Linked DNA regions of Arabidopsis thaliana. The protein of the gene in region 1 interacts with the protein of each later gene in a pairwise test. Each region holds a gene or a part of one and is shown in the gene's direction. Other genes may lie near its edges. The genes, in order: AT3G18210, MYB73, TGA3 and MYB3R-3.

Region 1 (7,718 bases):
CAGATCTTCTAAACAAAATTCAACGACAATCCACTGAGATTCAGCCTTTGAGCAAAGATTCAGCTATAGATTAAGAAAAGAATTGTCTACAAACAAAGTTCAACAATAATCTTGGATATGTAAATTTTGCATTAGTCATGCACACACATAACAATGTTAAAATCGATCTTTGGATTCGACCAACATAACAAATACAATTTGTTTATTTGGTATACTATTGTAGAGGCAAGGAGATTGGATGTATGAAAATAGAGTAAAAGTTCTAAAATTGGACACAAAACAGAAGATCGACGAAGAATAAAATATGAATGATTTTTCTTCTTAAGGCGACCACTTACAATGTAACTTTATTTGTCTCTTTTTTTTATTATATACATACAAAAAAATTTAATTTTTATACTATTTGTAGTGTAACACCTGAACCATGGTCAAAACCAAACCCTTTTACTTTGAGTGAAGAAGAAGAAGAATACATTAAGAATTAAACCCAAGAGATCACATTATATATATATATATATATATATATATTATTTTTTGAGATCACATTATTACATAGTAGACCACTATTATTTCAATTATTTGTTTGCATTTACGCGAGCATTTATAACATGAAAACTCAAAGGAAATTGTTCCATGAGATATCATCAAAAACACTCGTTAATAACATAAAACTCTTGAAATTCAACGAACAGCCAGACACAACAACAGACCAACCATATTAACAAGAAAAATAGACAAATCATCGTCCAAATGCAAAAGTAATTTGTCTCAGCTGGCCAGCCAACATATAGATTGTAGAGAGAGACAACAAAGTAAGAAGAGAGAAGATGGGTCTCGAACTTTTTTTGGTAGGCTAATAATCTTTTAATTAGGCCCAGCCCAGTCTAGAAGTTTCAAATCCTTAAAAAATATTCGGAAAACCCCAAATCTTTGGTGCTTGCTTGAGTGTCGCGCTTATTTATTCCTGCATGCTCAATCTGTCCGGAGTCCGTCAGGTGCTTTAGGTTTTTCTCTCTGTCTTCTCCGATTCTAAGAGACGTGGGGGAAATGAGCCAATTAGAGGTACCAGATTCCATGAATGAGTTTAGATGATCCATAGTGGATACGAATGCAATGAGATCTTGTATGATCTCTTCGCCTTCGTATCCGATATCGGATCACCTAAAGACATCCCCATTGTCTTATTTTCCGCCGTCACTGCCACTCCAGCTTTGTAACGTCTCTTGGCATTAGAAGAAGAATCGAACTTTTGTCCTTAAATCTTAATAAAAGGTTTCATTAATGTACTTATCGAGCGTGAGCCTTTTTGTGCGTATCTAGTCATGTTTAAACAGTTTGAGGCTTGAACATTTCGTTTATGGATTTTACTCAATCCTGTGGAAACAAAGCAAGAACAAAATTGTTTTAAGGCCTGTGTGAATAATAACAATTCTTCTTAGTTATCCAAACCTAAAACCAAGAACAGAAAAAGCTAAAACCATTACTTTCTTCAGTGATGAACATACTTAAGATTGTTTGTTTGCGTTTAGGTAGGCGTTTGCGTTTTCATCTTGTAATGTTTTCTAATCATTGTAACATGAAAACACAAACGCATACATAATTGCAGACAAAGTTGTTCCATCACATTACAAAAGACACCGTTAACATATAACTCTTAATACACAACAAAAGTCAGAGAAGAATCTACAGAGTATGAACAGCTGATTCGATTTCGCCGTCCATTGAATCAGCCGTTTCTCTGAACGATTGGCTATGAAGATGCCTGGTAAAACTAGTGGTCGTGTCCAAGAAATATAGAATCGAGGACATCATACAACAGCACACAAACATCGGGATTGGCCCGAAGGTCCATAAGAAGAGAGGGAAGGAGAAGTAGAAAGCCCGTAATCCGAGAGACCAGAAGTAGCTAGCTCGGTTCAGGTTTCTAGACACGTACTCGCAGTGCTCTCTTTTCCCTCTTGAGACAGGCACTGTGACTAGGAAACTTACGTGAGCGTAATACCTGATTGACTGGATGTTGCAGAGAAAGGCCATGAGGAAACAGATCAGGATTGCAAAGTTCTTGAATGACGCTAAGCGAGGGCTTTTGCTCCCGTATATGAGATTTGTTGCCGTGGATTTTGAAGATGACGAGTTGCTTACAAAGACGCCGATGATGGAACATAAAGTGATTGCTGTTGTGGCTAAAAGGGTTGATGCCATTATGTTGTTCCGGATTGTCTGAACAGCCAAGGTACCATTTTTCAGTGGTTCCTGGAAATAACAATAGATAAACTTATATCATCTACTGCAAAAGAACCAATACTGAGAGCCAAGACCACCGATAATTCGGATCTTAACGGACAGACACACGACTGTGTTCTTGTTTCTCATGTCTATGACTCTGTTCCTATCCAATGAACCTCATTAACTAGCTCCAAGATTCTAGCTGAAATATGCGTAGAGTTGTGAACTATAGGGATCTGTGATGCATATCCTCCATGAACAAGAAGAGTTCTTGAAAAATGTCAAGCTTCCAAGGAAGATAGCCAACCGTCTATTATAACATTGATTCTACTAATGAAGATTCACATCTAACATCACTTGACAGCTCCAAGACTTTGCTTCTCCTAATCTCATCATCTTTACTCATCATAAACCCTGCTCAATTTTGCTACCTGATGTTTGAAGATCCAAATATTTATGGTTTACTAGTTTTTAGTTGACTTCGAAAACTTCAGAATCATGAAAATTGAGGATAGGAGAGCCGTAAGACTCTCAATACCCAATTCCTAAAATCACGAACAAAGCAGCTCTATTGCCATAAACCCTAATCTAGACCCCAAAATCTCCAGAATCAGAAATACCAAGAAAATCCCAGAATGTCACCAAAAGAGGAACAATAGAAATGAGAAGAGAAAAAAACATACAGTCATCATAGAGAAGACCCATTGTCGTCGAGACTCAGCGTTGAGAGCGATAACAGTGAGCTTGGGGCGGTGAAGAATAGCGTAGACGAGCCAGACATGGTAAGCAACCATCACGACCAGACCCGTCGGCACAAGCACTAAATCCAAAGATTCCTCCGTCCACATTTCTACTTCGCCGCAGAGATACTTTCAATTCGTACGGTTGTTCCGTGATCGGAAAGATCGATGGCGGCCAAAAGATTTTGGCAGAGGCAAGAGACGAAAAAGCACCAAGCTTTGAGAGCGAAAGCTTTCATTCACACGTGTGAACTTAACAAACTCCAGAGGAGACTATCGATATCTCTCACGTGTTAACCAATAACGCACTAACAGACAACTCAAAGTCGAATGATTTCAATTCCACGATTATACCGGTAATTTCAGTTTAAACCAAATAACCGGTTCGAATTATTTAATGGGCCGCCTAATAGATGGGCTAGAAAATCATTTAACTCTTCTTATAAGGCGTATGACTGGTGGTTTCGTGCGTAATATTAACAAATAAATAAAAGATAAAAAAATCTTCGAGGGAACATTCAGAAACCCTAACTTCAACGGGAACTCAAAAATCAGAATCTCCAGATCGAGAGCTTAAAAAGTCGATTTCAATTCCCCTTTAAGATTTTTTGCTTTTGGAATGTAGTGTGAAGAAGAAACCCTAGTTTTTTCTCACTTGAATTCTCTGCCTTCTTTAGTAATGTCAAGTGAGCAGCGAGAAGGTTCGCAAGAGACGACGACGACGACGGTGGAAGGTAACGGAACAATTGCAGGTCAGAATTCTCATTCGGCGGCTCCCACGACATTGAGAGCTACCTCTACGATGGTTTCTTGCCAGAGACTAAGGCTAAACCCTAACAACGAGCATAGACCCGATAGTTATGAAGATCTGCAGCTTGATTTCCCAAACTCGGTATATTCTAGTCTGGAGAAGTACTTGCCTCCGAATATGCTCGTCTCGAATCGTGATGAGAAAATCAAATTCATGACTGATATTATGCTTAGGCATCTTCCTCATGGAGAGCGTTCCAGAGTAAGTACTAGATTTGGACCTTTCTCTCTTGAATTTTGTTTTTACTTGTATTGATGACTGTGAATTGCTTTAGAAGCTACACTTCATTATGAAAATTTGAGCTTTTGCTAATTGCTACTATGAACTGGTTTCACTTTTAGTTAAGTGGTTATGGAAATTTCAATCTGGTTAGATGATGGTTGGTAGAAGATATTGCATGAATGGTTTGAAAATGTCAATATGAGCTCAAGAGTTTTATTAAGTAGTTTTGTTTGGCTGATGCTACAGGCTCAAAGGCACAGTGACTATAGGCTGAAGATTACAACAAATTATCAGGTGTGAATCCTTTCTTGAGCTTTCTTGTGTTCTGTATTGCTCTGCTCCAGTCATTTGTTAGTAGTTTGAAGTGTTTTTCTACTGCAGCCACTTCACAAGGAGTTGTATACTCTAGTTCCCACAGTATGTTTCGTTCCTGCTTTCCTTAAGGCGATAAATGAAAACACAGAGGAAAGCTTCAGAAATATAATATCTGAACCGTCTCCTGGTGTTTTCGTCTTTGACATGCTCCAGCCTAGCTTTTGTGAGATGATGCTAGCCGAGGTAATGTGCATCCATTTTTTGTTTTTCTCTTATCCTTCGTATTTTGTTCATTTGCTCTTGTTTGACCATGCAGATAGACAATTTTGAAAGGTGGGTGGGTGAGACCAAATTCCGGATAATGAGACCAAACACCATGAATAAATACGGTGCTGTGCTTGACGACTTTGGTCTAGACACCATGCTTGACAAACTCATGGAGGGGTTTATACGTCCCATCTCTAAAGGCAATATATTTTTAAATCCATTACATAGTCTATTATTGGAAAGTCTGTTTAATATGTTCACAGTGTTAAAACTAAAAAGCTACTTCGAATCTTTTGTTTTGCAGTATTCTTCAGTGATGTGGGTGGAGCAACTCTGGACTCTCACCATGGTTTTGTTGTTGAATATGGGAAAGATAGGGATGTTGATTTAGGTGAGACCCTTTGACATATCCTGTATAATTTCCCATGACCTGACTAGTTGTCCTAAATGCAGATATATTCCAATACTCACGTTATTCTGGCTGAAAATTATCAGATGTTATATAAATTTTCAGGCTTTCATGTGGATGATTCAGAAGTAACGCTGAATGTTTGTTTGGGTAATCAATTTGTGGGAGGGGAGCTATTTTTCAGAGGCACACGGTGTGAAAAACATGTGAACACAGCAACAAAGGCAGATGTATGCCACTCTTTTCTGTTGCTTTCTTGTCTTCTAACATTCTGTATATGGCTGATAGCTAATATAAACAACTCTTTTTTTTCTGCGAAAGCAGGAAACATATGATTATTGTCATATACCTGGACAAGCTGTGCTTCACCGTGGCCGCCACCGCCATGGTGCCAGAGCCACAACATGCGGGCATCGGGTCAATATGCTTCTATGGTGCAGAAGGTAAATAGCATCTAAAACTTGCCTCTAGACTGCCATGCATCTTTTTTTACATTGCAATTGACTTTCCATTTTTATTTGGTTTCTTATTAAGCTTGTCTTTCGTGTTGTTCCTTGCAGTTCTGTATTTAGAGAGCTCAAAACTCATCACAAGGATTTCTCCAGCTGGTGTGGAGAGTGCTTTTGTGAAAAGAGAGATGAGAAAGTGCGGTCGATTGATGCTCTAAGAAAGGTAAGCCTGTGATTGATCAAGCTTATATAGTTCTCTGTTTACTAGAATGGTCGATGATTCTATGCTCTTTATTGCTATTGCAGAAATTGTTTAAACCACGTCAAACCCAAGCTTGATGGAACACTAGCAAGATGAGCAATTGATGAAACATTAGTAAGATAAGCAATAACATATATTGGATGACATTAAAACTTGAGATCAAGCCCTGAAGAATTGCTCCTGTTTTAAGCTGACTTAAAACTGAGCCTATGTAGAAATCATTTGAGTTATATGGGTCTCTGTTTATCGTTTCTCAGACTCTTTGATAAAATATGTACATGAAAGAATCTAGTCTCAACTTCACTTGTGTACTACAAGGAGTCATATTGTTGTCCGATTTTTTTTGTTCTTTCATATGAGTACAAGGAAGAATTGGTGTTATCTAATTGGATTTGGTGATGCTGCTCTCTTAAATCTCCATATTCGCCTCAAATCGTTGCTCTACTGAGTTGTGCACTTGTGCTCTTCACCAATGGCTAGAGCCACAAATAATGGATTTTGCTCTTATAGAAACCCAAATCGATTGCTTCGGTAGGCTCTTTTGAATATAAATGAGCATTAGGGCCATTGTGCACGTTATTCTAAATAATGGAAGAGAGAAGAAAGTGTAGATGGTGTTTTGTTGCTGTCTTGTTATTTCATGGCAAGACAAATCGAAATTGGGTGTGAAACGGTACTACCAACCCAATTAGTTGACTTTAAGGCTTATCATTGAATCCTTTTATGGATCTGTTATTTATGTCTCTTTTATATACTCTTCCATTCATTCTTCTCACCAAATTCATTTTATTTTTGGGGTTTCTTGGTATCTTTTTGACAATCTATGTTGATACGATGTTTATATATATGATCACACTAATTAGCAATGTAGATGAAAACACAATCCTTCATCTTCATGATACAGTAGTATAAGATCAATAAGGATCATTTGGGTCTGTTTTAAATCTTAAAAGATTTTGATGTCTAGGTGTGTGCTAAGTCGTTGAAAACACAACTAAGTTAACTTCATTCTGCAGATATTCTTAATGTTAAAATCTGAGCTCAATAGGGATTCTTGACTGAATTTTTTAAAAAGATTTGATGTCTAGGTTTTTTTTTTTTGCCAGTTTGTTTTTGATATTTTGGTGATCTGATGATTGTGTTGTTAGTTTTGTGTTTCAGTTTTGATCCTTAATTTTCTTTTGGATTCTGAAGCTGGAATATTTTGATTATATATAATTCAAACTGAGAATTTTCATATCATGGGCTGAAAAAATGGAGAATCTTGCATGTGTCCCTCTTTAGGGCCACTAGAAGAAAAAGAAAAGAGAGTACATAGTACAAATTACTTAAATGATTGCTAAACATTATTTAAAACAGAATAGTTTCTTAATACATTAGGTCAAGTTATATGTTTAACATAACTTTTTGGAAGATGTCATAGTTTTAAAATCCAACCTAATTGGTACATTTGATTGTAGCCGTTTTTTGGAATCTAATGACATGAAACAATTACAAGTTAACTGAATAAACGGTGGTTAGTGCTCCTTCGAAGAGATATTAGTAAACTTATCAATCAAATTATTAATGGTTTTCCACATTCAAGACAAGATGCCTAATTATGAGCTAGACCACATGCTATTCGATTCCATAAACTCATTATTACATAAGAAACGAATATATAAACATAATAGAAATCAAATGAATCCCCAAATGAAGAATTCACTAGAAACACAAACTTAAAATCAAATTAAACATATATGTATATGTCAACATTCAACGTGAACATTGATAAAATAGTGGTTTGTATTACTATTGTCGCCGTTGCACAACCCAAATACAAATTTGTAAATGTAGGTGTATGAATTTTAGATGACATAAAGGACCCAAAGTGGTGTCCTCTCATTGAACATGAGTGAAACTTCTAACAATACATATATATCCCTAAATCATTTGAATAAAAATAAAAATACAAACATATCCCCCACATTATCTAAGTCACGTAAAACATTCAACCTCCGAATCGTATTATTACAGT
Region 2 (6,323 bases), on another chromosome or scaffold:
GTTTTTCTAACGTTGGTAGTTGATGATATATGTGTGAATGCATATCAAATTGACCACAACATAAAAAAATGAATTTATGGTTAAAAATGACTTCTGAACCGTTGGTTGGTTACATAATCCATTAATAGAAACAAAAATAAGGACAATGCATTTAATATATTATTCGAATACAATTCTTCGCTTACTTAAAAACATACATATAGTTGACTACGATTTATTCCACTCAGACAATACGACCCTCCAATATTTAAGTTTTATTTTCTCACATATTTTGAAAAACACCAAAATATATTTTTGTTCTCTTTAATTTCCTTCAAAAAGCTAAGTGTATAACTCAAAAAAATAAAAAAGTCAAAAGTCAAATTTGTGTTTTTTACAAATGATAAAAATTCTAAATTTCTTAACTAAACACTAAACCAAAGTATTTTTAGTTTTCCAAACACAAGTTATAAAGGAGTTAAGAATGGTAAATTACTAATTAGTGAAGAATATATAAAAAAGGGTGGGTGGGTGACCGGCAGGTGGGAGAGTGGCCGTTAAAGGGAGGCAGAGATTTACAGCCTGTTTTTGTTTTTTTTATAATATCAGAAAATTAAAGTGGTAACGATCAGCCTTCCGATCTATCCTTGTCGTTTTGCGCCACGTGAGCAACTGTCTCTTTTTGGCCTATCTTTTTCTTTTTGTTTTGCTTTTTTTCTTCTTTGCTTTTTAGAGTATTTCATTTTTGAGATCGGCAAAATATCCAAAACATAATAATGATAACAATTTTTCAAATAAATAAAAAAAATACTAATAATGGTATACAGGCTGGCTTCCTCAGTCAAAAAGTCACCGAATCGAACCAAAACCTCATACCTAACCGTTAACTTCATCCTTATCTTCTTCTTCTTGTTTTCCTTATTTCTTTTTGTTGGTGCTCTTTTTTCATTTTTCTATTATATCATACATTCTTTTACCATATTACTTCAATTATTGTTGGTTTACCTTCATAAGTTTAATATGTTTTAGTGCATACGATATCAACTGTTTTGCGCAAAGGGTTGAGTTTTTATATAAACTAAACGAAAACAAAATTTGGAGGGTACTGAAATTGTTCATTTTTCATTATCTTGGTGTAAATAATCTATGAATCTCATGTGTATATGCAAAGTCATATGAAGTGAACTTGGTTTAGATATTTGTTGTATTTTCAATTTTCATTTTTAATTATATCATACATTCTTTTACAATAATCTTCAATTATTGTTTACATCCCTAATTTTAATGCATAAGATATAAATTGTTTTGAGCATTAGGGTTTAGTTTTTTTATAAACTATATGAAAACAAAATTTGGAGGGTATTTAAGTTATTCATTTTCATTATTTTGTGTAATTAATCTATGAACTTCGTGTGTATATATGCAAAGTTGCATGAAGTGGAACTTGGTTTTAGATATTTATGAATATCTAGATATTTGTTGTATTTCAGTTTGTTAGGTTTTGTTCTCTCTTTCTGCCAATTACACACACTTTTGTTTTACAAAGAACATAAATAAAAGTTACATATATATCCTGAAAAGTTTGCTTCACTGTATATATATCATCATCCTACACGCGCTTCACCGGCGTTTACCCTTTCAATTTCTGGTTAACTAAGTTGAACCGGATTAGTAATTCTTCGGTTTAGTTGTTCTTCTATACGACAATTTATCACTTGACAAATATAAACGATCTATTACTTGCAACATTCATATTTAATCTAGTATCTTACACGTACATATTTGTTAGAAATTCAATGACCAAACATTGCAAAACTATTACATTCACTTGTTGCATGTAAGCTAGAAGCCTAGAACTCGCTGTCAACGACTACAATGTCTACATTATTTTCACCGACACAATTTACATCTTAACCAAAATTTGGATATTGGACCAATCGTTCGTTTATATAATAACCACACGTATCAATCAACACACAGAAGACAATGACATGTAACAAACAGTGTAAAATATTGAAAATAACTTATCAAAAAACTTTAGTTCATAACACAAAAACTTTCGGCTATTTTTTATTGACTTCTATGTAGTCTTTTTGTTGCACTTACTATTTTTAAAAGCAATATGTATGTTTCCAGCAGATTCTTAGTTTTTACAAAATTTTGCCTTTAATATTTTTTTTGATATACATTGCCATTCTTGATTTCATTTTCTTCTACAATAGTATCAAAATTTTACAAAATAAAACTTCAAAAAACATACGAAAAAGTTAACAAATATTCAAAAAGAGAATGATTTTAAAAAGGATATAAATATAGAGAGAATAAAACGTAGAAGTTAACGATTTTTTTTTGTGAGTGTCACTTTAGATGGAAAATGAAATGATTGGGTAAAAACGCTCCACCTGTAAAACAGAGAGTGGAAGAAACGCTCCTGTGTACGAGCGTACTCTCTCTTCAAAAGAAAACAAATCTCTCAAAAAAAAGAAAGAACAATTGAAAAAAAAAAAGCAAATCTCAAACTCAAAGTACATATACTTACTTGACACGTGTTAATATACAGCTGTATCCCAAGTCCCCAACCGTTTTTCCTGGAAGATTCTCTGCTCTCCACGCTCGATGTTAACCTCACACAAACGCTTATCTCCCAAAACGCCTTTTCCAATCGCCAACGTGTTTTATTTTTGGTTTAAAATAAATATCTGTTCCAATCATACAAACACGTAAATGTTGTCAATTTTTTTATACCCAAACGTTAACGAGGTTTGTACGTAGCCCATTTATGGACACATAATTATGAACATATAAACAATGGTTAATCATACGTTTAAATTAATTAAATTCACCAATATTTTTTTGACTGAATGAGTCAAAATTGTTTAACGAGTAACGACCATAATTATCAGTTTTTATTTTTTATTGTTTGAACTACCATAGTTATCCGTTTAACACTGAGCAAATCTCTTTATTAATAGAGAAAACGGTTTTATTTGTTTCCTTCTATAAAATTTGTTTTTAATAATACGTTAGATATTTTTATGCAGTTAAGGATAATATTACACTGTAAAGTTTAACTAGTTTAATATCGTTTCTGTTAAATCGATAAGAAAAAATTACCGGTTGAACCGGTGACCCTTTTGCCCACTCCTTTCTCGTATAAATACTCTCTCTTCTTGCTCTTATCCTCTTCAACCAAAAAGCTTTTCTTCCCAACACACACAAAAAAAAAAACTGTAACGACCAAAAAAAAAGAGGACGCGTTAGAAGAAAAAAAAAGAACAATCCGATAAAAAGATCCGGCGATGTCAAACCCGACCCGTAAGAATATGGAGAGGATTAAAGGTCCATGGAGTCCAGAAGAAGATGATCTGTTGCAGAGGCTTGTTCAGAAACATGGTCCGAGGAACTGGTCTTTGATTAGCAAATCAATCCCTGGACGTTCCGGCAAATCTTGTCGTCTCCGGTGGTGTAACCAGCTATCTCCGGAGGTAGAGCACCGTGCTTTTTCGCAGGAAGAAGACGAGACGATTATTCGAGCTCACGCTCGGTTTGGTAACAAGTGGGCTACGATCTCTCGTCTTCTCAATGGACGAACCGATAACGCTATCAAGAATCATTGGAACTCGACGCTGAAGCGAAAATGCAGCGTCGAAGGGCAAAGTTGTGATTTTGGTGGTAATGGAGGGTATGATGGTAATTTAGGAGAAGAGCAACCGTTGAAACGTACGGCGAGTGGTGGTGGTGGTGTCTCGACTGGCTTGTATATGAGTCCCGGAAGTCCATCGGGATCTGACGTCAGCGAGCAATCTAGTGGTGGTGCACACGTGTTTAAACCAACGGTTAGATCTGAGGTTACAGCGTCATCGTCTGGTGAAGATCCTCCAACTTATCTTAGTTTGTCTCTTCCTTGGACTGACGAGACGGTTCGAGTCAACGAGCCGGTTCAACTTAACCAGAATACGGTTATGGACGGTGGTTATACGGCGGAGCTGTTTCCGGTTAGAAAGGAAGAGCAAGTGGAAGTAGAAGAAGAAGAAGCGAAGGGGATATCTGGTGGATTCGGTGGTGAGTTCATGACGGTGGTTCAGGAGATGATAAGGACGGAGGTGAGGAGTTACATGGCGGATTTACAGCGAGGAAACGTCGGTGGTAGTAGTTCTGGCGGCGGAGGTGGCGGTTCGTGTATGCCACAAAGTGTAAACAGCCGTCGTGTTGGGTTTAGAGAGTTTATAGTGAACCAAATCGGAATTGGGAAGATGGAGTAGAGTGATAAGAACAAGTTTTCCCTCTGTTTCTCGGGAAAATAAAAGTTTCAGGCTTTTCATGTATAGAGCCAGTAGTAGAGACGACGAAAGGAGGAAGCGAAATCAAAAAATGTTTTGTTATCATCATCATATGATCTTCTTTCGTGATTCAATTAAAAGCAAAGCAAGATCATTTATTAACAATTTACACAAACTTGAAGAAGAAAAGTCAAAAACACTTCTCAAACTTTTATTCTATGGGTTTGTTACGAGGAAACAAACATAAACTAAAAGTAGTAAATATAATCTCACGTGACATAATATATGACCTGAAGAAACCAGTCGAAACGAAACATATATACGATTTTGATGTTTCATAAGCGATCATACAATTCACAGTGTCTTGCTTTTGCAGAATTAGACAAAGAACAGCAAGTTACCCCCTAATGTGCAGAGCTTAAACTGTTGCTGCTGCTACTGGTTGGTTCTTGTGAGCGTAACTTGTTGATTAGATGAACTATGTCTTGTTTCCACGACCATGATGGATCGTTTAGACCACGTACTGAGTTTAGACACACCAGAAGAGTCCCGCCTTCATGTAGAAGTACCTATGATCACAAAAATGCAGGTTAGCGGTTTTGTCTCTCGGGTAAATGATGGATAACAAAAGCTTGTAGTGGGTATTAGCTTACGTACCGTCAACCACAATGGGACAAACCCTAAAACTGAAGGAAGAGCGGCCAAGAATATCGATGTTAATGCAAGAGCTACGTTTTGCTTGACCTGCAACATGATACATTCTTGTTAAATCAGGCAATCTAACATCTGAAACTGGTTAAGAACAAAGACTTTTATGTTTTATCTACCAATGATGTTGTCTGGCGGGATTTAGCGACACAGAACGGAACACCGGTGATGTTGTCTCGAAGCAGTAAGATGTCAGCAACGGCAATCGCAGTGGCACTCGCTCGTTGAGCAAGAACAATCCCCACTGTTGCAGCTGCTAGAGCTGGAGCATCATTAATCCCTTCTCCTACCATAATTAAACCTCCACCTAGCAAAAATCACAACTCTAAATTCTCAGTCTCTTGATAGATGTTTTTGATTGGGAACTATGGCGAGAGTAATGAATGATCACCTGCTTCCCGAGCAATGTTCTTTACATGATTTAACTTATCCTCTGGCTTTAGGTTGCAGTAGACTTCGGTAATACCCACTGCGTTTGCAACTCTCCAAGCACTTGAATCATGGTCCCCAGTTAACATCATTACTCGGAGTCTGGCCCAGCTTTTAAGTTCTGCTATAACTCCTGACACCCCTGGACGAGGCTGATCTTCGAGGTGAATCAATGTTACCTGACAAAATTTAGTTGCAAGGCTCATAAATTTCAGTGTTACAGAGGTTTTTATGGACTAATAAATGGTCAGATGAGAGATGAAAATCACAGACTGTGAAGTAGGAAAGAGGTTTTTAGACCAGCTAAAGAAGTAGTCGTAGTATACCTTTTGATCAACAGAAAGAGCAGCATGAACGAAGTCCTTTCCGTACGAAGACGCGTTTACAGCATCCTTGATCTGTTTAGATTCATCTTCAGATTTGAAAAGTGAGGTAATGAACTCTATAGAACCAAGTGATGCTTTTCGTAATCTACTCTCTTCAGCTACTGTCTATTACAAAACCAAAAAATGTGGTGAGAGACAACATCATATATATTAAGAATGAAAGCCAGAGATGTACACACATCACCCACAGCTATACACTATAAAATCTGGTAGATAAATGGATATATATAAGAATCTAGTAAATAACTGAGTCTCACCTTAACACCGTTGACAGTAGCAGTAAGGCCTCTACCAGGAAAATATTCGAAGCTTTCAACAAAAATAGAAGGAAGATCCTTACCCACACTGTGATCTACAACAGCTCTGCAGCAAGATGAAATGTGTCAGAAACAGCAGAAAAGACCTATAGTACTCTTCAGTCTCAATCTCTTACCAGACCAAGCATCATTTAAACTAATAAACCAGTGTAAAAACCAGTGTAAAAACCAGAGATAGAGAGCTTCATAGCGTTCAAATTTGCTTTTTCCCCTTCCTTTCATCC
Region 3 (7,747 bases), on another chromosome or scaffold:
TCTCTATTTGCATCTCTTTTCATAATTACCATCATATTTTTCTCCTGTAAACTTTTTGATAACATGTCACTAGACGGATCGGGACTAGGAGGGATGGCTATAGCGGAGGTTTACACGATGAGGAAGTTTCATAGAGAGAACATGAAGAGTATAACGGCAACCGCGGCCACAACCGCTGGTGGAATCGAAGAGAACGGTGGAGGATCTGGTCGATGGTTCTTTGGAAAGCTGAGCACCAAGAAAAACTCTGCTAAAGTTTGTGATCTTATGATTACAGAATAAGCTATAATGGCGCGTCCAAAATTAATCAAATAATTATAATGAATAAAAACGTTAGAATTTTCTTTTGCCCTTTTTGTTTGCTTTATGTTTAATATGTAGTGTTTATCGTTTGAATTTATTTTATGATTTTTTTTTTTCTTTGGGTTTTAAGCAAGTATTTAGATTGGATGTTTTATAAAGCTATAAGAGTTTCTAAATCCCTGCTACATATGTAACGATTATATAGTCATGAACTCATGATGAGTTATTTTTAAGCATAATAAGTTTAATTAGGACCAAACACACATAAATAAGGAATTTAAGGGCTGGAGTTACAATATATGCCAATTTATTCTCAGACCAGCATCTCTCCTTCCCGTGGCAAATCCAGAGGGTCACGCAACTATCTGAATTAAGTATAGATAAGTATAGTATCTAATCTATCTATATGGGTGACATCAGAATTTGATGCAAATTGGAATAGCCAAATGTGATGGACAAATTAGATTATTTAGAAATACATTTTTTAAATAACTAAGAGTATCTGGCCCTAAACTCATACATCTTTTCAGACGAGTATCATAATTGTTTGTTAAATGTAAATTATTGAATCTAGTACCAGGTTTTTAAATCAATGAACGGCCGTTTAATAGTTTACAAGAAGAATGTTCGGCTAATCTACTAGATTTATATAGTAAAATAGATTTTTATAAAAACTAAAAAGCAAGTAAATGGTAAAACTAGTACCAAATTAAATATATAACGCCGTTAATATATTTCCTAATTAACTAATCAAAATGGCCAAAACATTATAGTATATGTGGCGACCAATATGCGACCTCCTGTTCAAAAAATCAAACGTACTAGTGGTGTACAAAATAATATTTTGAAATCTTCATTATGAAACGTGAAATCGTCAGGATTTTATAGATTTTGTTTTCCTCTAATAAATTTTTCTAAGAGCCTAATTATTGTCAAATATTTTGTAATGTTGGCGTAATTTTAATTATTTTTAATAATTGAAAATATATTTTGTAGATTCAAACAATTTAGGATATAGTTGAATGAAGTTGACAAGTTGATGCATGCAAAGAAGTAAGAAGAATGACATTCTTGTATGCGAAAATGATTATTTTCAATTAGTGACTGATATCTTTTGCAAGTCTAAAATAAATATAATATATTTTATTAACAATTCGTGAAAAGTCTTTTTATTTGATGGCAAAATACTACATGGTTGTTCTTTTTTTTTGTTGCAACCATGTAATGATTAATGGTGATATTGTTGGTTGGTTGGTAGTCGAATGTTATATGGTTATTATTTTTTTGGTTGCAACCATGTAGTGATTGATAGTGATACTGTTGGTTTGCTACATGGTTACTCCTTCTTTGGTTCCAACCATGTAGTGGTGGTTGATGGTGATATTGTTTGTTGGTAGTCGAATGCTACATGGTTGCTCCCTCTTTGGTTGCAACCATGTAGTGGTTGATGGTGATATTGTTCAGTCGATCATAAAATATATGATGCATGAAGAATATAAATTATTGAATTGTTTTTCCTTGCTAAAAAGTTAATAAAAAACAATTTATCCTAAATACTCTTATTTTTTTGTAATTATGTTGTTAAAGGGTCTAAATTTTTATATATCCTTTTATCTTATATAAATATATATATATATATATATATATATATTATTTTATTGTTTATATATATGTAAGTAAATGATTGTGTATAAACAAAATTAATACTGAAAAAGACTAATTTTTAAAATTTGTACCAAAATTCCAGTTCTATTGAGCCGGTTTTGGGTGTATATATAATAATATATTATAATATATAATAATATATTATAATATATCGTGTATTAAAATTTAAAGGTTTATTACGAAATTTTAGACTTAAGATTGAATTCTATCATCTAGATTATTAAAGTTAAATAACTTATTATGATCTATTATTTTTATCATTGTAGACACTCTTTTAAGTGGTAAAGTTTAGGTCTAAAATCTATACATGTTATATAACAAAATAAAGAAAACACCAAAATTATTAGGGTTAACGAAAATAATATGTGACGTTACAGAAAAGAAACTTGCGCATTTTTAAAAAAAAAAAGTTGTACAAGGCGAGAAGCCTTAAAAAGCGGCACAGAGACTTCTGTAGATTTTTTCTCACGTGCACTTGCCATGTGTTGAATATTCGACAAATTTTATGGGCTTTACTCTAAGCCCAACTTTTCCTCTTTAGGCCTTTCTGCGCTGTTGCGTCAAAAAGACAAAAACTTAATAGATTTAAGAAAATCAAAATGATTCATTTTAGTTTCGGTATTTATCCTTTTGCATGTCATTGATCAATACGTTTTGAATCATATTTATAAAGATTGAAAACTATAGTATATGAAATCTTTATTAAAGCCAAACCAAAAGCCCCACTTATTTTACGTATTTGTCTCTGTCGAAACGCAGATTTTATCAGACAAGTGGCACCAAACTAACTAAAGAATCAATATTGTATTAGGCAAAAGAAGAAAAAGATAACAAAATTAATCATTTTCTTAGAGTTGGGTAGGTCACTAGAGGCCCAATTATTACTCACTAAGCTAAGGAGGAGTACTTAAGTTAAAAGATGCCACTGCATAGCACTGAGACCCTCCAAATAAAGCGAATAAAAATTAATAAATTGATTAAAAGTATTAATCTTCCACTCTTGTCCCACAAAATGCGACCTAATTTCTTGGAAAAGTTTATTCAATTTCTGAATAACAAATAATTCACAGTTATTCAAATATTTATACAAATAAATTATCAGCTATATTTAAAATCGTTACTAAAAAATATATTTAACCAATCGGTAGTAATCTCGTGGTACAAATATCAATTATCCATTTTCAGATCAAATCATTACTATAACTATTTTAATTTAAAAACTATATATATATATATATATTATATATCAACTTTTTATAATGTGAATCATAAGTCGACTATTAAGTTTTGATATATGATATTGTATGTTTTTTTCTAACAAAATCATAAACAAATCACATCTTATATATATGAGATTCAGATTCTCTATGTTAAAAAATAAAAATTACCGGAATATTCCCCTCAAGCATCTGACGTGTCGGCCGACGATGAAGAATCCAGGTCATCAAAAGGTGTAGTTTAGAAACAGAGGCGCACGATAAGGTCAACTTTTGGAATAGAGGAAAAGACTCAACCTTTTTTATCATCTCTCTCGATTTGTTTTTCTCCCGGTGGTGATGCTTTTGTCGTTTCATCGTTCGTTTACTTCAACTTGCTTATTATTCTACGCTCATGGACTAATCAAAGCCATGAGGAAAAAAAAAAAAGCAACAACACAAAATATATGTATAAAAAAATAAATATCTCTGCTTTTTTTTTTCAATGATGGGTACGCTTCACCTCTAAGTTTTGACCAAAGTTTTTCTTCATTTCTCTCTTCTCTCTTGTGGTCACCGTTTGATCGGAATATTCCTTTTAGAATGCCAAGATTCATTCTTCATCTCTCGAGCTCCTCATGAATTTCTTCTCTGCTTATCAATGGAGGTTGGTTTTTGTTTCTCATGTTATCTTTTCTTGCTTTGTGAAGTCCTTAAATTTTCCAATTTTGGTTTTTAGTTGTTGCAACTTTCTAGTTTCATGGGTATTACTCTATTTGGCTATGTTTCTTCAAAAGGCTCTGTTTTGGAGAGCTGGGTTTTCTAAAGTTTCAACCTTTATTGCTAAAACTGAAACTATAACTACTTGTTTATTGTGTGTGTTAGTAAGCAATGCAATTTTAGAGATATGGACTGGATCTATATATCTATTGAAAGCTGAGCTAGAGAATCTGTTTCTTGAATTCAATAAGCTTGAGTCTGTAAATTGTTGATTTACAGATGATGAGCTCTTCTTCTTCTACTACTCAAGTTGTATCATTCAGAGACATGGGGATGTATGAACCATTTCAACAGTTATCTGGTTGGGAGAGTCCTTTCAAATCAGATATCAACAATATTACTAGTAATCAGAATAACAATCAGAGTTCTTCAACAACACTTGAGGTTGATGCTAGACCAGAAGCAGATGATAACAATAGAGTGAGTTATTGTTTATTCCTGGATCATGCTTTAGAATGATTTATAAGTGTTGTTTGTTTGGTGATTGATGGTTAATTATGTTGCAGGTGAATTATACTTCTGTGTATAATAACTCTCTTGAAGCAGAACCGTCGAGTAATAATGATCAGGACGAAGACCGGATCAATGATAAGGTAAGGCTTTAGCATTTTAAGGCTACTTATACCTTTTGCTTCGAAGACTTCATAAACTCCTCCTTCTCCATTTTAATCTTTAGAGGAAGAGACACGGCGTGATGACATGAATTGTTGTTCCTTCTCTATGAACAGATGAAACGGCGTTTGGCTCAGAACCGAGAAGCTGCTCGCAAAAGTCGTTTGAGAAAGAAGGTAACCTTGGTGGGATTTTTTCTTGTGTTAATGATAAAAAGGAAAGCTTATGCAAAGTTGTGTCTGTGCTTGTAGGCCCATGTTCAACAGTTAGAAGAAAGCCGGTTGAAGTTGTCACAGCTCGAGCAGGAACTTGTAAGAGCTAGGCAGCAGGTTAGCTCAAGCTTGTTTATTTGTTGTGTGTTCATCAAACTTTATCTGATTCATTCTGACTCAGTGATTCTTCTGGTTTGTATTAGGGATTATGCGTACGCAATTCTTCAGATACTAGTTATCTAGGACCAGCTGGGAATATGAACTCAGGTTGGTGTTTATATCACTAAATAAGCATATGTTAGCATTGCTTTATCTCTTAATCCTCAGTAGATAAAGAAGTAATTTTCCCAATAATAACCATTTTCAGGTATTGCTGCATTTGAGATGGAATACACACACTGGCTAGAAGAGCAAAACAGGAGAGTTAGTGAGATTCGAACAGCGCTCCAAGCTCATATAGGTGACATTGAGCTCAAAATGTTGGTAGATAGTTGCTTGAACCACTACGCAAATCTCTTCCGCATGAAAGCTGATGCTGCAAAGGCTGATGTGTTCTTCTTGATGTCGGGAATGTGGCGAACTTCAACTGAACGCTTCTTCCAATGGATTGGAGGTTTCCGCCCATCCGAGCTTTTAAATGTAAACTTCTTTTTTACTTTTACACGTTTCTCTTTCTACTCTTGAGAAAAAATGCTCAACCTTTTTTGTTGTCTAGGTTGTGATGCCATACGTTGAGCCCTTAACCGATCAGCAACTGTTGGAGGTGCGTAACCTGCAACAGTCGTCTCAGCAAGCAGAGGAGGCTCTCTCTCAAGGCTTAGATAAACTTCAGCAGGGTTTGGTCGAAAGCATAGCAATTCAGATAAAAGTTGTTGAGTCTGTGAATCACGGGGCTCCAATGGCTTCAGCCATGGAGAATCTTCAAGCATTGGAGAGTTTTGTGAACCAGGTAACGCTAAGTGTATTTGCTTTGTGCTTTTGCAGTCTCCATGAATCCAAAGTTTATTTTCATTTTTGATTAGAAACTTTGTGAGCATGGATTTCACAAACAAAATCTCTGACAATATTGGAACAGGCGGATCATCTGAGACAACAGACCCTGCAGCAAATGAGTAAGATATTGACGACAAGACAGGCTGCTCGAGGGTTGCTCGCTCTAGGAGAATACTTCCACAGGCTGCGTGCTCTTAGTTCTCTCTGGGCAGCTCGTCCACGAGAACACACTTGACAAGTTAGGAGGCAAACAAAACAAAGAGAAAGAAGCACAAGGCAGATGATGTTAGCTATAGGGACTTGCTTTATCTCTCAGAAAGTGTTGGCTGATATTTTCTCCATTAGAGAGCATCATCTTCCTCATTGATGATTTTGTTTACTTGAAAGGAATAAGAGATGTGTAAATTTGGGTGGAAAACATGTAATGTCTTTGATGCATTAGGCTCTTTATTTGTAAAATATATAGGGTTTGTTGTCACTCATCTCCTCGTATATGAAAATTTGAGCCCACAATCAAATTTTTTGTCTATATTGTTATTCCAACAGTTCTTAGCTTATATTTGTTGTTGGTATAAATTGGTCAATAGACAAACAATAAATTCAAATAGATTCATAGAGAGTTTGATCATTCCCTTCATTCAAATTGTGCCTAAAATGAATATCCTACGGGTCTCAGCCAAAAAAGCCCACACCGAGGAAAGATAAAGACAAGAGTTAAAGGTAACACATGTTTCTTCCCTTTTGTGATACAAATGGGGTAAAAAGGGTTAGTTCTCTTTCTTTCTTTATCTCTCCTGTAAAATTCAAATCTTCTTCACTAGCCATCCTGGAAAAAAGAAGTAAAAAGACATAAGAATAGACCAAGAAATCAACTTCCAAATGTGAAGAACACAAGACTCATATGGAAAAGGCAGCAGAGTACTTCATGTAAACAAGAAAGTATCCATGACCCGGTTTACTACTACTTCCTTGTTACAAAATACAAGCTAGGAGGATGAAATATTACAGTCTCGTGCTTCTTAAAGAGAAAGGATTATTTACCTCTGGCATGGAACTGCTTGGGCCACCAAGTGATAAGGCATTGTGGCTATTACTTGAGCCCATAGAGTGTCCATAGAAGTCGGTACTTCTGCAAGCAAGCATGATCAGTTGGTAAGTATGGTATAAATAGTTTGGGAAAAGAAATCACTAGTAACAGAATACCTAGCATCTGAATGTTCCATCTTTGAAGCTACATCAGAGGTCTCTCCTGCGTTGTTGCTCAAAGGGCTTGATCCAAAGCTTAGTTGCGAGCATTCTTCTGTAGAGATTGGCAAATTATCTGAAGTTACAACAGCAGGTTTATCGTCTTCATGAGATGCTTCTTGATCATGACTATTTGTATCTCTTGTCTGCAAAAGAAGATAAAACCATACGACAAAGCCAAAGTTCCAGTAAAACAAAAATGACAACTAGCTTAAACCAGAAGTCATTTGATTCCTGTAAAACATCAAGAGTCAGGAACTACATGAGGACAGCTAGTGATACAGAGTTTGAGGACAGTAACAACTCCTCAGGTATGACAGATTTCCTAATTCATAAGATGAAATTAATGTTAAAAGATAGAGAGCCAGAAGCTTCAGAAATCTGTCATCTTACATTTATCAACTGCCTGACTTGGCCATGAAGACTTGCGACGTCATCATCATCTAGGTTAGAGTGCAATTTAGAACTGCTGCGCGCCACTCTGCAACCAAAACACAGCAATGAAAGAGTCGCAACACTGAGCATTGTTCAACTCTGTGACAGTCTGATCAATTTACCTTTGACGACGACGCTTTTTAGATCTTTTTGGTTCATCTTGTTGCTCCTGTTTCCTCTTAAGGTTTGCCCTTGGAGCTTCATCCATTAGTGGGCAATTAAAATCCGAAAGAAGATGGCGTGGTGTTGAGGAGGGCCGAAGCATATCTTTATCATTATCCTGAGCACCAACCACCATGTACATCA
Region 4 (8,150 bases), 3.4 Mb from region 1:
GGTTGATGCAGAACATCAGCCAAGAAACAAACAGTTATATTGAATACTTAACCCAGCCTACTTGTTTCATCATACTCTTGCAGGCTTATTGAAAGGAAAAAATAATAAAGATGTTGTGGCAACAGCTAGAGACATTATAGCTAGTATGAAGAGAGATTGGATACAGGTGTGACTTTGTTATGTTAGTGTATCGTTTCCTATGTACGCTTTGCCTTAGAGTTAATTAAATTATGAGTTATGTTAATATTAGCTACGTATTGGCTTGCAGACCGGCCGGAAGCCTAGTGGAATATGTGGAGCAGCACTTTACACAGCTGCTCTTTCTCATGGTATCAAGTGCTCTAAGACAGATATTGTAAGATATGATTGGCTATAAAGAAATATTGTTTTAGATGAGAGGAAAAGTGTTTTAGCCTTTAATTCACTAATTTAGTACTGATTTGGTGTGTTTTCTACTTCCAGGTAAACATTGTGCATATATGTGAAGCAACTCTCACCAAACGATTGATTGAGTTTGGCGATACGGATTCTGGAAATTTAAATGTGAGTTAAGGCTAATGAGTGTCTAGCAGAATTACATGCTATCTGGTCATATCAGCACACATTGGGTTAAATATGAGGATCTGGTTCCGCCGTCATAGTAGTTATAACTTATAATATTGCATGTTCCACTGCTATTGGTTTGTTGTCATATGCAATAGTGTCACAGGCTCGATTTGCTTTGCCTCATATCAGTTGAAGAATTATGTTCATTTTTAACGGTTGTACATATGTGGCTAGGTTAATGAGCTCAGAGAAAGAGAATCGCATAAAAGATCTTTTACCATGAAACCAACCTCAAATAAAGAGGCGGTGCTCTGTATGCATCAGGATAGTAAACCTTTTGGTTATGGACTATGTGAAGACTGCTACAAAGATGTAGGTCACCGGTTAATTTCCTGATTTTTCTAATCACGTCTTCTGTTTACGTAGTTGCGAGTCGTTGACAAATGGTTCCCAGAGTTAACAATCAAATGTTTTCTTTTGCAATTTTTAATGCAGTTCATAAATGTTTCTGGTGGACTTGTTGGTGGGTCCAATCCTCCTGCTTTCCAGCGCGCAGAGAAAGAGCGAATGGAAAAAGCAGCTAGAGAAGAAAACGAGGGAGGAATTAGTAGCCTAAACCACGATGAACAACTATATGTAAGTTTTGGTGCTCTTTTATTTGAGGATTGCAGTTTAGATATTTTCCTCCCTACCCAAAGCACCTGTATTGGGAGCTTGTTCACTTCTGCTTGTATGATATTATAATAAAATCTTTCTTGTGCCGAACTTTTAACAGTCAGACTATTGCAGTATGAGCAAAAGGGGAAAACAATGTTCTGGTGAGTGCAATTGTTTTCTATCAGATTAAAGTTCTTCACTATCGTTTGAGCACTTGAGAATCTATTTGGGCTGTGTCGCAGAGAAAGGTGAAAAAGATAAAGATGGGGCTGAAGAACATGCTGATACTTCGGATGAATCAGACAACTTTTCTGACATCAGTGATGATGAGGTCGGTAATTGTTTAGTAGTAAATGCTATGTCAAATTTCCAACCTCGAATATGGAACATGAAATAAAGAAGAATTCTCAACAGTTTCAAAGTCTTGTTTTCTCACTACAGTTTCCCTTGTTATATTTGATCGTCAGTCATAGTATTTTACTGTTGCTCAGGTAAATGGCTATATCAACAACGAGGAGGAAACGCACTATAAGACGATCACATGGACAGAAATGAACAAAGATTATCTTGAGGTGATTTCAGAGGCTATATAATATGTATCTTCTCTTGGATTCCTTTTGATTTATCACCTAGGAGATCAAATCACATACAAAATTATGTTGTTTTGTAGGAGCAAGCTGCTAAGGAAGCAGCTCTGAAGGCGGCTAGTGAAGCTTTAAAAGCTAGCAACTCTAATTGCCCAGAAGATGCAAGAAAGGCTTTCGAAGCTGCCAAAGCTGATGCGGCAAAATCTAGAAAGGTGACTCAGTTTGAACTTTGAAATTATGTTCCTGATCAAGCATCTGACTTTTGGAGAATAACATGATACCCATTGATGACATATGGTTTCTCAATCAATTTCTGATTCTTTTTTCTCTCTCTTCATATAGGAAAAGCAACAAAAAAAAGCTGAGGAAGCAAAGAACGCGGCTCCTCCAGCCACAGCAGTGGAGGCGGTACGCCGAACGCTTGATAAAAAGGTTAGAATGTCAGCTTCTTTGATACCTTGATACTTGAAAACGAATATGCAAAAAAAGATAAACCGAGTATGCCATGTATCATCTGTTAAAAACCTGGCCTGGAAGTACATAGTCAACAACATGGCTGTCGAAATTATTAGCATTGAAGAAACTTTAGAGTCTGTGTTTCTTCCTTTTTCCTGATTTTGAGTGTTGACTCTTACAGAGACTTAGTTCGGTGATCAACTACGATGTTTTGGAGTCGCTATTTGATACATCCGTAAGTTTTTGATTACCTCTTCTTGTATCCTCAATTCTCATCACTTTTTGAGGTCTTTACAATTTTGCTTCTCTTTTCTTCTTTCAGGCACCTGAGAAATCACCCAAGAGGTCGAAAACAGAGACAGACATTGAGAAGAAGAAGGAAGAGAACAAGGAAATGAAGAGTAATGAACATGAGAATGGTGAAAATGAAGATGAAGATGAAGAGGATGAAGAAGAAGGCAATGTAGAATCATACGACATGAAGACAGATTTTCAAAACGGCGAGAAATTCTATGAAGAGGACGAGGAAGAAGAAGAGGATGGTAATGATTTTGGATTGTATTGATGATATGTATTGTGAAACACAAGAGTTTTAATTTCTTTTGTTTTGCCGGATTAGTTGATTTTATTTGCATTAATATAGGAGAACCCCAACTAAATTTATTCTTTATTATCAGTAACAAATATTTAAGATTTAAAAGAAAAAAAAGTTCACACAAATGATCTATTTATTTTTACAATTCAAGTGGTACTGACTAAGAAATGAAAAACCACTAACTTAATTAATTTAATAAAATCTATATGTATTTAATTTTGATAATTTTATTTTCCTTGTTTATGATAATTCTAATTTCTATCAGATAACAACTAACAATCACTGAACTTATCTCACCTATTTGATGAGCTAAATGTATTTTAAATTTATTTTTCTATAAAGATATAACTGAAACAAAAGTGATGACTTTTTATGAAAATTCCCAAAATCAAATACCAGAAAATTCAATTTTAAACAAAATGTGTCGGTCCGGATGATCTTACATCTAGCTTGGTTTTACAGGATAGTATTTAAGAAGAATCATAAAGTTCATCTCAAACCAAATCCGACGGTCCAGAGTCACCTGCAAAGCTTGGCATCGTATACGTGTTCAGTGGTCAACGGATCAGCTACGAGTGCCGTTTGAGGTTCAAACTTCTGTTTCTGAGGTTAACTCTCTACCGTTAACGTCCGTTAGTGTACCTTCTAACCTTGACGACTTTTCCACTTTCCAAAAGATAACGACGGCGTTAAATTGGTCTATTTTACTGAACCAGCTTTAACCAGAATTAGATTGCATTACATTCAACTCGTGCTTATGGATAAATATCAGTTCGGTTTGGAGAAAATAGGTTACTTAAGGTAAAAAGAACGGCAAGTAACGGTGTGACGTCAGCAGAAGAAGTATTCGTTATAATAGTGAGAGAGAGAGAGATAAAACTTAGGGAACCCTTTTTTATGTTTTATTTTCTCGCTTTGTTTCGATCAAGTCTTCTCTTTCTCTCTCTATCCCTCTCTCTCTGGTTCAACGGGCAAAGTATTTTTCGAATAAAGTTTTGGTTTTTTTTTTAACGTTCCTTTCGCCTTCTTTCTTCTTCTTCTGCTGGTGAATTCGTGTATCTATCTATCTCGATGAGCTCCACTTTTAATCCAGCCGCTTCTTCTCCAGATGAGGTTAGTTTTTGTGTATCGAATCTGAATTTTTAAGGGTTTTGTTCTTGTGATCAGATTCTAGTGAAATTGAGTTCTTTGTTGTTTGGCTCTGATTCGAAACGAATTTAACTTTATTGAAACTATAAATTTTTGTGATTACAATTGTTATAAACCCTAATTTTGCTGTGGTTGGTGTTAATGTTGAGCTGTTTACTGAATTCGTGATTTGTGAGATCTGGGTTCTGTCTGCTTTGTGTTTTACGATGATTGCTTTTTTAGGGTTTCTCTGTTTCTTATCAAAGTCTGGATCTTTTTTTTCTTTCATTGAGATGATGGATCTTCAGGAAGAAACAGGTGAAGTGAAAATTGAGGATCAGTGTGTAGAAAATAAGCAATCAACACCTGCTTCGTGCTCTTCTGTATCTGAAGGCAGTGCTGGTAGTTCCCACAAGTCACCTACAATTGCAAGTCCTGCCACAGTATCACCTACTCATAGGTACCTCGGGTTAGTTCGTCTCCTTCTTCTTCTTCCTTGTTTTGTATCTCCTCCGCAGCACTCGTTTGCGAATTTGCATCTTTTCTACAAGAGATTGATGTTGATAGTGTTTGGTATGCAGGAGGACGAGTGGCCCTATAAGGCGAGCCAAAGGTGGGTGGACTCCGGAAGAGGTTAGTATTGAGTATTGACTAGTGATTGCTTTTGACCAATATCAATTTTGGATCAGTAGTTCGAAATTCAAGATGTGAGTTGTTTTACTTAATGCAGGATGAGACATTGAGACAAGCAGTTGACACGTTTAAAGGCAAGAGCTGGAAGAACATAGGTAAGTCTCTTCTTCTTTTTAGATTCTAGTTCTCATATTAACAAGAGTAATGTCAGTGCTACAACATACTCCATAGATTTGTGGTTCGAATATTAAAGTTGGAGCCTACTTGCTTACAGTAACTATTAGTTCCATACTCTTGTCTCTGTAGTTTTATGAGTTACTCTTGTATGTTAACTTGATCATCTGAGGCTGAGCATCTAGTAGAAAGACTTTCTTTTACGTTTGTTTCCGTTTTGTTCCGTGAAGCATTTAGTATTGTTTGAATTGGTGTATTCATTTTTGCAGCGAAATCTTTCCCTGATAGAACTGAAGTTCAATGCCTGCATCGGTGGCAGAAAGTTCTAAATCCAGACCTTATTAAGGGACCTTGGACACATGAGGTTGATTCTGTTTCTGATTTTATTTATTATTTGGCTTCATTTTTTATGTGAAATACGAAGGCTTAAAGTTTGTTGTTTTGCAGGAGGATGAGAAAATCGTTGAACTGGTTGAAAAATACGGGCCTGCGAAATGGTCTATTATCGCACAGTCTTTACCAGGTCGAATTGGGAAGCAATGCCGAGAGAGGTAGTTAATTCATATGAGCCAAGCATTTTTCTTATAGTTATATTGGAAGCTTTAATGTGTTTTGATATGTATGCAGGTGGCATAACCATTTGAATCCTGATATTAACAAGGATGCTTGGACCACAGAGGAAGAAGTAGCTCTCATGAATGCTCATCGAAGCCACGGAAACAAATGGGCTGAAATTGCTAAGGTCTTACCCGGCAGGTATTTTTACTTTTCTTGGCATGCGTCATTGGAGTTGAGACTTTAGAGAAGGGTTAGCTTCTGGGTTTAATGAAGGTTTTACTTAAAACTTGCTGCAGGACTGATAATGCAATAAAGAACCATTGGAATAGTTCATTGAAAAAGAAGTCAGAATTCTACTTATTGACTGGTAGGTTACCACCACCAACAACAACAAGGAATGGTGTTCCTGATAGTGTAACCAAACGTTCATCGTCTGCTCAGAAAAGGGTTTTTGGTTCAGTTGCTCAAACCTCATCAGTAACTACAGATGTAAACAATCTCGCTGAAGACGGAAATGGCCAAATAAACTCATCTGTTCCTGTCGAAGAAGTAGTAGCTGCTTCACGAATGACTAGTCTTAATGAGTATGCTCGTTCTCCTCAGTTGCCTAACCCAGAGCCATTGCCAGAGAATGGTGGAGCTGCAAATAATGGTTATCATCTGTACTACACGCCTCAAATAGACTATTACAGGGCGTCAGAAGTGGATACGCAGCGTATGTATGGGAATGAATGTGGTTGCAGTCCAAGCGCATCACCAGTTAGCTTCTTCACTCCACCGCCGTGTAGGAATGTGCACAGTAACGGTTCGACTCCAAGAAGTCCTGAATCTTACCTGAGAGAAGCTGGTAGAACTTACCCAAACACACCATCCATATTCAGGAAAAGACGACCCAGGGTTGTTGTTCAGGATAACAACAACGCCAAGAAAACAGATGAAGCTAAAGAGGTTGATCAAAAGGTGAATGATGGTAAGGATAGTTCAGAGATTCAAAATAATGGATCAAATGCTTACAATCTATCTCCTCCATATCGGATAAGATCGAAAAGGACAGCAGTTTTCAAATCAAGACAGCTTGAGTTTATATCTAGAGAGGAAGAGAAAGCTGATGATGAAACCAAATCATCTGAGAAAGATATGTTGATTGATGGAGATTCTCAACTCCTAGGCTAAACAGTGACTAGATGATTACACGCTGAATGTTGTTTCATTGGTTATATTTTTATTTTTGGGTTAATGTTAGAGATGTTAGATGTATTTAGTCCAAAGAATAATTTACACCTCATAGTTGAGCTAGGTTTTTTTTTTCCATAACAAAAAAAAGATCTTCAGTAGTGGGCCATAGAAATTGGTGCATGTTCTTGATTATTTGATTGATATGCGTCTTTGATTATTTGAACATTGAATCATTCGTTCACCGATGTGAACAATATCACTCTGCTTTGAATTTTTTTCTAAATAGACTTTATGATGTCATTATTCAAACGGGTAGGTAATTTACAAATCATAAGATAGTTTCACATTGACAAAAGTGTTTTAGATCAAATCAGCTATATTCTTTGGCAACTCGTCAATCTGAGTACTGTAGTACTGCTCAATGTCCCGGAGAATCTTGATCTCGTCGATTTTAACAAAGTTGATTGCAACACCCTTACGTCCGAAACGACCAGACCGTCCAATACGATGAATGTAGAGCTCACGGTTGTTAGGGAGATCATAATTGATGACAAGAGAAACTTGATCCACATCAATCCCACGTGCAAACATATCTGTTGTGATCAAAACGCGACTTTCACCTGTCCGAAACTGATTCATGATCTCGTCTCTCTCCTTCTGAGGCATGTCCCCATGCATTGATGAGACAGTGAAGTTGCTGCTCCTCATTTTCTCACTAATATAGTCCACTTTTCGTTTTGTGTTGCAGAAGATAACAGCTTTAGTGATGATAAGTGTGTCGTAAAGATCACATATTGTCTCAAATTTCCACTCCTCTTTCTCTACAGAAATAAAAAAGTTTTTAATTCCCTCAAGAGTCAACTCATCACGCTTCACAAGTATCTTCACCGGATCCGTCATAAACTTGCTTGTCATCTCCAAAATCTCGTGAGGTAGAGTTGCAGAAACCAAGCAAACCTGAATATCAGGTGGAAGATATCTGTAAACATCATAGATTTGTTCCTTGAATCCTCTGCTCAGCATTTCATCTGATTCATCAAGAATCAAAAGGTTAATAGCTCTGGTGCCTAGACTTCTCCTCTTTATCATGTCATAGACACGACCAGGTGTTCCGGACACAACATGGACACCATGCTCCAGCTTCCTTATGTCTTCTCCGAGGCTCTTCCCACCAATGCATGCATGCGTCTTATCTGTTTGTGAAAGCCAGCTCTCTTGTTGGGGATAATATCAAGGCCTGAACCCTGCAATCAGAAATACCAACAAATAAGATGAGAATAAATTTGGAGATAACTTGGCAGAAAAGTTAAAATTGGAATTAGGGTATGAGGAAGAGAAAACGTACTCTCTAGACGAAAGTGTCAACGACTTGGCAGACGGAGAGAGCAATCATAGAGGTCTTTCCCGTACCGGACTGAGCTTGAGCAATAACATCTCGCCCTTGGAGAATTGGCATGATCGCCCTCTGCTGAATGGCCGAGGGCTTCTCGTAACCGTACTCGTATAAACCACGAAGAACATCCTCTTTAAGGCCCATATCTTCGAAACTCTCGATGGGATCGACCCCTTTGGTCGTCTCGAAGTCATCCATTGTTCCAACGCCTCTCCTACGGTCTCCACGGCCAGGATTCGCCACCATA

What was found.
Region 2: the proteins of AT3G18210 (region 1) and MYB73 interact in binary tests that used the Arabidopsis thaliana proteins (3 or more experiments, as listed by UniProt).
Region 3: the proteins of AT3G18210 (region 1) and TGA3 interact in binary tests that used the Arabidopsis thaliana proteins (3 or more experiments, as listed by UniProt).
Region 4: the proteins of AT3G18210 (region 1) and MYB3R-3 interact in binary tests that used the Arabidopsis thaliana proteins (3 or more experiments, as listed by UniProt).

What each region holds. Positions count from the first base shown.
Region 1 is NC_003074.8:6,236,324-6,244,041, reverse strand, and holds AT3G18210 (2-oxoglutarate (2OG) and Fe(II)-dependent oxygenase superfamily protein), read left to right. Parts: upstream 1-3,436; 5' UTR 3,437-3,645; coding exon 3,646-3,978; intron 3,979-4,245; coding exon 4,246-4,293; intron 4,294-4,380; coding exon 4,381-4,557; intron 4,558-4,630; coding exon 4,631-4,781; intron 4,782-4,885; coding exon 4,886-4,972; intron 4,973-5,095; coding exon 5,096-5,220; intron 5,221-5,314; coding exon 5,315-5,433; intron 5,434-5,550; coding exon 5,551-5,662; intron 5,663-5,745; coding exon 5,746-5,778; 3' UTR 5,779-6,140; downstream 6,141-7,718. Other genes in the region: AT3G18215 (transmembrane protein, putative (Protein of unknown function, DUF599)), read right to left, coding at 1,684-2,253, 2,910-3,074. UniProt on the Arabidopsis thaliana protein: Participates in the epigenetic repression of flowering genes in association with ICU11. Functions in the repression of several members of the MADS-box transcription factors family, including SEP3, during vegetative development via histone modification.
Region 2 is NC_003075.7:17,537,324-17,543,646, forward strand, and holds MYB73 (myb domain protein 73), read left to right. Parts: upstream 1-3,166; 5' UTR 3,167-3,278; coding exon 3,279-4,241; 3' UTR 4,242-4,476; downstream 4,477-6,323. Other genes in the region: HMA1 (heavy metal atpase 1), read right to left, coding at 4,664-4,828, 4,917-5,003, 5,087-5,274, 5,359-5,575, 5,723-5,887, 6,040-6,145. UniProt on the Arabidopsis thaliana protein: Transcription factor that functions in salt stress response. Acts as a negative regulator of NHX7/SOS1 and CBL4/SOS3 induction in response to salt stress. In response to auxin, activates the transcription of the auxin-responsive gene IAA19.
Region 3 is NC_003070.9:7,785,826-7,793,572, forward strand, and holds TGA3 (transcription factor TGA3), read left to right. Parts: upstream 1-3,307; 5' UTR 3,308-3,825; coding exon 3,826-3,831; intron 3,832-4,163; coding exon 4,164-4,364; intron 4,365-4,450; coding exon 4,451-4,537; intron 4,538-4,672; coding exon 4,673-4,732; intron 4,733-4,807; coding exon 4,808-4,885; intron 4,886-4,971; coding exon 4,972-5,035; intron 5,036-5,135; coding exon 5,136-5,407; intron 5,408-5,483; coding exon 5,484-5,717; intron 5,718-5,843; coding exon 5,844-5,996; 3' UTR 5,997-6,314; downstream 6,315-7,747. Other genes in the region: AT1G22065 (uncharacterized protein), read left to right, coding at 64-282; AT1G22080 (Cysteine proteinases superfamily protein), read right to left, coding at 6,579-6,587, 6,803-6,890, 6,965-7,152, 7,400-7,487, 7,564-7,747.
Region 4 is NC_003074.8:2,875,622-2,883,771, forward strand, and holds MYB3R-3 (myb domain protein 3r-3), read left to right. Parts: upstream 1-3,731; 5' UTR 3,732-3,912; coding exon of another isoform or gene 3,913-3,954; 5' UTR 3,955-4,196; coding exon 4,197-4,438; intron 4,439-4,550; coding exon 4,551-4,602; intron 4,603-4,699; coding exon 4,700-4,757; intron 4,758-5,045; coding exon 5,046-5,140; intron 5,141-5,223; coding exon 5,224-5,327; intron 5,328-5,403; coding exon 5,404-5,532; intron 5,533-5,630; coding exon 5,631-6,507; 3' UTR 6,508-6,734; downstream 6,735-8,150. Other genes in the region: AT3G09360 (Cyclin/Brf1-like TBP-binding protein), read left to right, coding at 84-166, 269-355, 463-543, 781-918, 1,042-1,182, 1,322-1,364, 1,446-1,534, 1,695-1,775 and 4 more. UniProt on the Arabidopsis thaliana protein: Transcription factor that binds 5'-AACGG-3' motifs in gene promoters. Transcription repressor that regulates organ growth.